Linked DNA regions of Nothobranchius furzeri. The protein of the gene in region 1 interacts with the protein of each later gene in a pairwise test. Links are inferred from orthologs where the notes say so. Each region holds a gene or a part of one and is shown in the gene's direction. Other genes may lie near its edges. The genes, in order: lhx9 and khk.

Region 1 (4,599 bases):
ATTGTTTTAAAAATTAAGTATAAAGTAAGAATGTAGATTGTTCGGGGCATAGGAGGACATTCTGATCACATCTGGATTATGTTTATTTTTAAATATTAATAAAAAATATCTGAGTTGTGTTTGTAAATAGGATGTCTCTCCATCCTCCCACCCTCATTGCAATACATGTGACTATAAGGCTTTACAGTGCTTCACTCCTCCCTCCTTCTCCCCCCCCCCCTTTCATTCTGTCAGTGTTTAGCCTGTGGTTCCCTGCACCGCGGCGGATCCTGGGAGAGCCCTCCTCCTTCCTCTCTCCAGCTCCTCGCCTCCACGTCCACTCCTGTTCTGGCCACGCTCTGGGAGTGACTGAGAGTTCCCTCTGTGTCATTTGAGGTGACCCAGAAATGAGAACTCCAGATGAAGCCTGGATGTGGGGCAATCCAGCCCGAGGAGCCATGCAGGCATCCAGGAGGACAGGAGGGCAGGCGGGCAGTCGTCCTGGCTGGCGCCATGCTGGAGCTCACAAACACAGCATTCCTTTCCGGGTATCAGGCGTGGAGAACGCCTGGTGTTGTGGTTCACTGTGAAACGGATCTCAGCGTTGCTGCATTATTGATGAGATACACTGTGATGTCAACCCAGGCTGAAGGAGCAAAGCAAAATGACTGTTAGCACTATGGCACATGATCATTTATGAAGGCAGCACAGAGGAGTCGTTAATTGTCACCCTTTTGCTCCCAGCTCAAGAGCTCACAAACACCGTTTTCTCTTCTCTTGTTGTCAGCTGAAATCTGCTCATCTACAGGCTCTTTCATTTGTTTATTAATGTTGCAGCCTGCACTTTATTCTGTTTCATTCATTCTTCTGTTTTAGCCTTCGTGAAGCTCTAATAAAATAAATACAGAAACAGGTTTTCATTTAATTAGGCTCCTTTTGAAAACAAAGATTTGTCATATTTAATAAACCTTGAATGAAAAAGATTTTTGTTTTTTTTATTCCTTTTTCTACAAAACTAAATTAGTATTTGAAGCATCAGTTCTGAATGGCATCCAAATGAAGCACATTAGAAAAAGACTATTTATTTTTACATTTTTTTATTCTGATTCGTTTCTTCGTATGTGGATTTTTTTTTTTTACATCAGAACAATTTTCGGAGATCAACCACTGTTTTCTTTTTTGCACCACGTGCTCCATGTGCGAAAAATCCATGAATTAAAGCGCACTTACAGGAGACCCTCTCAGTTTGGTGCTTGTCTATGTTTTCAGGGTGTGTGGCTGTGTTTGATTGATCTAGTTTGACTGTTCACCTATAAAAAATTTTAAAAAACTGAGTTCAATGACATTTTTACCTCAGTCTTCCTCGTTTCTCTTGAAAATGAAATCGGTGATTTTGTGTCTTTAATTAAATAAAATACGATTTTGCCCGTTTTTTGGTGCTTAAGTACAAAAATGATCATATTTATGCATTAGTCCTGCAGTTAAATAAGAAGAGTGCATCTTTATAATCCCTAAAAGTATCTTGATTATATTTAAGAGTAAACAACAGCGTGAAGACATATCCTCCTTTTTGATTTATTTTTATTTTTCTGAGCACATCCCAGCTCCTAACCCTTCCGAGTAGGCCATTGGCTCGTGACTTCCCCGTTTTCCTGTTTGCTGTGCTGTGTTGAGGGCTGCCTGCATGAGGGAGAGGAATATTTAAATGTCTTGTGTTTTAATTGACGCTCGAACGGGAGCTGTGCGCTCAGACACGAGGAACAGCCCCCCCCCCCCCCCCCCATCTACCGGCAGCAGCCTCTCCTCTGTGCGTGCAGTCCGCAGCTCCTCCGCCTGCGCGCCGCACAGGGATCTCACGCGCTGCTCAGCCTCAGGTAAGACCTTTCCTATCACTATTCAGACTCGGGGCAAAAATAACACACGGCAGGATTTGGGGTTTTGGCGCAGTTGAAAAAAAAAAAAGAAAAAACGAGAAGAGGAGCGCGGGAGGAGAAGCTGGCGACACTTTTGATGTCCGGTCAAACAGGAGTGATGGAAGTTGAGGCCGTCTGAAGATGCGCAATCGATGGATTAAAATTAATATTGGATGGAAATTTTTAAAACAAATGAGTCGGACCTTTAAAAATGTTTCATGTATTTTACCCTGTGTTTTGCTGGCGTTTTAACTTATGCGTCTGCTTCACGTGAGAATAAAAATGATGCTTTTGTGGCAACATTATTCAGCTGCATCACTTATGTACCTAAATAATTGATTTTTCGTTAATTCAATCGTTTAACGCAGTTTTATTTGCATTTTCTAACTTAGCTTCTCGTTTTAACCACATGATTTACTTCGACATCTACTAAAAATATTCTATTTACATGAATCATGAATTTTAGACAATTTAATTAGCTAAATCAAAAACAATTTTTATTTTGCACCAGAAATAAAAACATTTTCCTGTTTAAAAATATCGATTTGATATTATTTAACTTTCCTTCAAACTAAACGTTCCACATTTTATTGTTTTTGATCATAAATGCGCTGGTTTTTGTTGTCCCTAGAATAAAAGTCCACCAACGCAGTAAAAGTAGTGATTCAACACCAGTTTTAAAGGAGGTCACGAGCACACGGCAGTGGCAGGTATAATATGTTAATTACATAAAGAAAGAAACAAAACTAAATGAAGAGCGCGTGATAGTTCCCTTGGTGCCAAAATGCCTCCTCAGTCAAACGCAGCGTTGGAGGCGAACGGTCACAAACGCGTTTTTATTAAGCAGGACAATAAATGGAAATAAAAACAAACACTGAAAAAGACGCAGGTGCCTCAAAATAATCCGTGAGGATGTTCCGCTCGATCTTCTTGTGGTGTCTTTGTCCAGGCAAAACGTTTTGTCCTTTTTTTGAGTCCACTTTCGCCGCTTTGTGGCTGCTGCTGAGACACCGACAGGGAGCAAATTACCGGCGTGCTTTATTTTTTATTTATTTATTTATTTATTTGGGGGGGAGAACAGCTGCAGCTCCCTCCGTCCAGGAGGGTTCAAGCTCCGACTTATAGCGCTGCTGTCAAGGGGCCTCCAATTAAAGCCAACACAACTTCCCAGTGTGTGTGTGTGTGTGTGTGTGTGTGTGTGTGTGTGTGTGTGTGTGTGTGTGTGTGTGTGTGTGTGTGTGTGTGTGTGTGTGTGTGTGTGTGTGTGTGTGTGTGTGTGTGTGTGGAGGGGGGAGGGGTTGAGGTGGTGGCCCACATGATAATGCTCTTCAGATGAAGCCTCCACACCTGGATCCCCCGAAGCTTCTTGCTAAAATCAAACCAAATGAATTTTGACCATAAACATGATTAATTCTTCTATCTTCGCTGCTGAAGCTCGTGTTGCGTTTGGAGCTGCCTCGTTTTTGCCAGTTTTCTCCACATCTGGCCTCTAATAGTGGTCGGTCTGAAACCACTTCCTTTTATTGTCATTGTCATAGTTTTATTTGGCGTTTTTACGTTTTTAACACGTGACACTTAACTTCACTGCAGCTTCTTCTGCATGTCCTGTACACTCTGTAGCGTTTAGTGAGATAAGGTCAGACGTTTCTAATAATAATGATTCCTCTGGGGCAGACTAGCTGGGAGATCCTATTTGAAAAATGCCGTTTTTACTTGAAAATTTCTGTTCTAGAAACAGGAAATCAACATGTCGTTTGTCAGATTGAGATTCTTGTAGGTAAGCACTGACTCCTTCATTAGCTGAAAGAAGAAACTAATTCCTGTTCAAACATTTCTACAAATAAACATTATAGGGTTTTTTTTAGATTCAAATAGGTTTATTCGGTCAATTATTTTACACATATTATTTTCCTGTAATTTTGTTTTAAAAAGAAGAAATAAACACGTGACATTAATTTTAAAATGAAATTCTAGTTTGTTTGTGTTTAAAAATAAATCCTTGTTTAATGTAAACGGTCCCCTCCTCCTAGCCTGTCACTGATCACTGCCACGCCCCCAACACACACTTTGATTCAGACCAACTTAAACTGAGAATTCAGAATTTTTCTAAATAAAAGCCACAGCTGCAGATGATTTTCAGATCGTTTAATCACGCCCCACGACAAAAACAACTAACTATTACATCAGAAGTAAAAGATTATTATTTGAGTGTATGCAAATTTGCAGCTTCTTTAAAGATGGAGAACAAAAGCAACGTGTTTCATACAGAAGTGGTCCTTCTCATGCCGGCATCGAGTTTATTTCATAAATTATTGTATTTTTATTTAAGAGTGACAGCTCTTTGTTGGTGAATAGTAAATCAGCGGTGATGGTGGGAGAGGGAGGTAGAGAGACAGCCAGTCAGTGAGAGGTGAGAGAGGGGGGAGTGAGGGAGAGGAACTCCTCCTACCAAATTGTTCAGACTGGGCCGGCTCTGCTCTCTTCACAAATAGGACACGGTTCTGAAATCCAGGCAGTCCCAACCTGACCTCCAAGCACCGAGGAACCCCCCTCTCCCTGTCTGGGAAACAAGGGAGAGAGAGAGAGAAGAGAGAGTGAGTAAGAGAGAAAGAGAGAGAGAACAACAACAAAAAAAGAAGAAACACAAAAACTTTGTGTCATTATTTTTGGAGAGCGCTCGCACTGACGCACCCTCCCCTCACCCCTC
Region 2 (4,407 bases), on another chromosome or scaffold:
GTCTCTGCAGGCTGCACTCTGAGAAACTCTGACTCTTCTGTCTGGACCATCAGGAACCGGTGTGTGTCATCTGCAGAGACTAACACTCCGGCCACAGATTCAGACACATCGATGAAGCTGCTCAGGATCACAGAGAGAACCTCCAAACATCTCTGAAGCCCTTAAAGGAGAAACTGGAGCTCCAGAAGAAAGTTGAAGTTCAGCTTGATCAGACACCAGAACACCTGAAGGTCCAGGCCCGACTCACACAGAAGCAGATCAAGGAGCACTTTAAGAAGCTTCACCAGCAGATGAAGAGGAGGCCAGGCTGGCTGCACTGTGGGAGGAAGAGGAGCAGAAGAGTGGGATGATAAAGGAGAAGATGGAAGCTCTGAGCAGAGAGATGGCAGCTCTTTCAGACACCATCAGAACCTCAGAGGAGGAGCTGAGAGCTGAAGACGTCTTGTTCCTGATCAACTACAAGGCTGCAGTGGAAAGAGTCCAGCGCTGCCCCCTGCTGGTTTGTCCACAGCTGCCCTCAGGAGCTCTGATGGACCAGGTCAAACATCTGGGCACCCTGGCCTTCAACATCTGGAACAACATGAAGAATGTAGTATCCTACAGTCCCATCGTTGTGGACCGAAACACAGCTCATCAAAGACTCATCGTGTCTGAAGATCTGAGCAGAGGTGAACAGAAGCTCCTGATTATCCAGAAAGGTCTAATAAGTGGTGATCCTCTGTTCTGGATTCTCAAGGTTTTAACTCAGGGAACCTCAGTTGGGACGCCGATGTTGGACACCTTACACTGTAAAATGTGTGGAAAAAATGGGAGACATTGATTCTGGATTATGGGAAATGTGGTTCACAGTGGATAAATGCTACACATGGTCACCATTAACTCCTTATGTCAGCCTGAACACCAGACTGTAATATATATAACTTTTAACAGTCTATTCATCCTGTTGGGCTGTCCCCATCTTTGCCGGTTTTCGAGTCGCCTGAAAACCCACTTCTTCCACTTGGCGTTCCCTGAACGTGTAGAACCTCTTATTTTTTATTTCCTGTTTTTATTGGTCACTTTAACCCTTGTTTTGTCCATTTGTTTCTACTTCAATGTTTTACCCTCTTTGCACTATTTTAATTGCTTTTATTATCTACTTATTCATTGTGATTTACATTTCTTATGAACTGTGAAGCGCCTTGGGCTCCCTGACAGGGTCGCGGAAAGCGCTTTATAAATAAAGCTTTGAATTTGAATCCTTGAACAATACTGTACATAATATGAATTGATTTTTTATTTGCATGAATAATGTAAAATAAATGATAATATAAAACATAATAATGAACGTTGTTTTAGTTTGTTTTTATCAGACAGTAACCGCGAGCTTTTATTTTTTTAGTCTCCACTCACACTAGGTTCCGTATCTTATTGTTGTGCTAGTTTTACATGAGGGAACGTTTGTTTCAAAGTCCAAATTGTTGGTTCGCGACGCGCTGAGGATCCTGTCTGGGTTTGGGTCAACATGGAGGAGCAGCAGAAGATTCTGTGTGTGGGATTGGTGTGTCTCGACATCATTAATGTGGTTGATAAATATCCGGAGGAGGACACCGACAGCAGGTTAGCGTACAGGCTAATGCTAACAACCACAACAGGTTTAGCGTACAGGCTAATGCTAACCTCCACAACAGGTTTAGCATACAGGCTAATGCTAACACTGTCACTTCACTGACAGGAGGCTAGGCGAACACCTGATGATTTCATCCAGCTTCCCAAACTAAAAAAAATAAATAAATAAGGATTAGACTGTAAGGGTGTCTGTGGTGGGGCTGTAGTAATAAATGTGAATTTATTATTTCACTCTGTTTTATGACAGTGAGAACACAGCAACAACAATAATAATAATAATAACAATACATTTCATTTACAAAGCATCTAACATCTGTCAAGCAAATCTGTGGAGCTAAAAAAAATCACAATGAAGATTTGGTAGCTGAGCTGCTAAATCACTTATAAATAACTGATGAACAAATAACTAGTTCAGTGTAAATGTGAAGGGGTGAGTGGGGGCAAAGGTTGTCTCTGCAAATCAATAACTGCTCATAAACATGTTGCAACAACAGAACCTCACATCTGAATGGATGGATGAGTTACACACTGCAGGACCTAAACTAAATAATTGCAAATCAAACCTTTTGCCCAAGCCACCTGGAGATGTGGCCTGCCGGGGATCAAACCACTCACCTTCTGATCAGTGGAGGATCACGTTCTCCATTCAGCCACAGCTGCCCTGTTAAAACTTGATTTATAAAAAGACTGAGTAGAAAGTTCAGCTTTTATTTTGGTAGTCTAGAGTCAGGTCTTTGGGATGATCAGACTGTAAACACACCACAGGAACTGGACTTCAGACTGGAACGTCTGGGTCTGTTGACTTTAGGAAGTTTTTTGTGGTCAGATGTTCATCTAAAGTACTGTGTCTGACCCAATACTCAGATTACTGATTAGAACATTAAACATCCGGTTCTGCTCTGATCCATCTCTTATTTCTCACCTCTGATGCTGTTGGGTCCTGCAGGCATCAGTGGACGGCTGTGTGATGTCATCTGTGTGTGTCTGCAGGTGTTTGTCTCAGCGATGGCAGCGAGGAGGAAATGCATCCAACTCATGCACGGTGCTGTCGCTGCTCGGAGCTCCGTGTGCCTTCATGGGTTCTCTGGCTTCTGGTCCTGTGGCTGAGTGAGTTCCGATCTGTTCATCTGTGGTTGGGTAGCTGTTGTTCTGATTGATGCTTCTTCTGTTAAACTTGAAACTTATCACGTATGGTTTGGGGTGTTTAATGTTAGAGCTGCTTCTGTGTTCTGATTTAAGCATCTCTTGATCGTATCCATGGCAACAACCACATTTCTTTTGTTGTGTTTATCTGAGTCTGTTTGCACCTGTGATGTCATCAGCTGTTAGCTGCCATCCATGTGTTTGATCCAGAGCTTGGTTGAGCCAGTACCAGGTTGTGGATGAACACTCGGACTTCCCTCTCTCCAGTTTATCCTGGTGGATCCCAAAGCATTCCCAAATACACCACAGAGGATTTCTAAACCTATCAACTGATCAGCAGGTCGACTCAGAACTGCATCATCAGTCAGAAACATGTTTCAGATCCACCGAGTCTCATTCCTCTAAGAATCGACTCGGTAGATTCTTAAACTCTGGCTGATCGATTGTGGACCGAGCCAGTCTCTGCAACAGCTTATGCCCAGAGCACCAGATGGTTTATTCTGAGCTGTGTTCACGTTGGCAGGTTTCCACTGCACACCTGCACGCAGCGTTCAGAGAGCTTGACAGAATAAGAGCTCGCTCCGGGAATGTGAAACAATAATTTTAATGATCACATTTTGTGGCTCAATCCCGACTGAAATACACATCAGATCTTACATCTCCCAGATCTAAGAGCAGAGTCAGCTGCAGCAGCTAAAACCAGCCCTGAGCTGATGAAGCACAGCTGTCCAGCTAAGCGTGTCTGGTAAATCTTCTCCAGGATGTGGCTCATACACATAAAGACCAGAAGAAGTTGAATCAGGCGTAATCCAGGTGTAAACAGATGCTGTGATCCATCCTAATGCAAGAACAGAGGCAGAGCTGCTCTTACAGAATCTGAGCTCCTCTGGTTTGGATGGAAAGGTGTCTCCTCTGTCCCCTGAGCAGCATCTGGGATGTCCTCAGTCAGGAGGAACTATTTACTGCTCAGGTGAGGACAGAGGAGGTGCTAACTGCTACTTGTCTGGACTTTTACTTTGGAATTCAGAAGGAATGTAAACAGTTTCCTGTCTTTAGTTTTATTTTGGAGGATTTTCAGAAGTTCTCCATCGACGTGTCGCTGATGTCTGAGCACGCTCAGTGCATGTCTCCAGCCTCCATGGTCATCAGCAACATCAGAACAGGAAGTAGAACCATCCTGCACATGAACAGGTGTGTGTGTGTGTGTGTGTGTAAGAGAGACTAACTGCCTCTGTTTTTTATAGTGTCGTCAGCATCCTAGAGAAGCTCCACCCCTCTCTGTTTCCTTTTGGCTGAGGTTTTATTTTGAAAGGGACATTAACATTTCCTGTTTGTCTCTGTCAGTTTCATTGTGGCAGACTTCTTACGCCGTGAAATTGACGTCTCAGCAGTGGTTTGGCAGGTCAAAGGTCAAACGCCATGTGCGTGTTGTGTGGTTTGTCCACTCAGCGGATCTCGAACCGTCTATCTCTACGACACGTAAGATGATGGCTGTCGCGGCGCCGCGTTCATTAAATGCCTCTTCATCAGTCAGACGTGTTAGAGCAGAGCCTCCTGGTGACTCCGCCCTGCTGTTGGTCAGCAGATCGGATGCTTTTCTCATTTTACCATAGAGCCCTGAAATCAGGATCAGGATGCTGTTTTAGTCAATCAGGA

The links.
Region 2: the proteins of lhx9 (region 1) and khk interact in binary tests that used the Homo sapiens proteins (3 or more experiments, as listed by UniProt). The two-hybrid records come from large-scale screens. The link is inferred for Nothobranchius furzeri from reciprocal best matches to the Homo sapiens genes LHX9 and KHK.

The regions. Positions count from the first base shown.
Region 1 is NC_091748.1:66,527,123-66,531,721, forward strand, and holds the start of lhx9 (LIM/homeobox protein Lhx9), read left to right. Parts: upstream 1-1,749; 5' UTR 1,750-1,853; intron 1,854-3,143; exon of another isoform or gene 3,144-4,599. UniProt on the Homo sapiens protein: Involved in gonadal development.
Region 2 is NC_091743.1:76,895,571-76,899,977, forward strand, and holds the start of khk (ketohexokinase), read left to right. Parts: upstream 1-1,377; 5' UTR 1,378-1,504; coding exon 1,505-1,599; intron 1,600-2,598; coding exon 2,599-2,715; intron 2,716-3,807; coding exon 3,808-3,942; intron 3,943-4,095; coding exon 4,096-4,230; intron 4,231-4,407. UniProt on the Homo sapiens protein: Catalyzes the phosphorylation of the ketose sugar fructose to fructose-1-phosphate.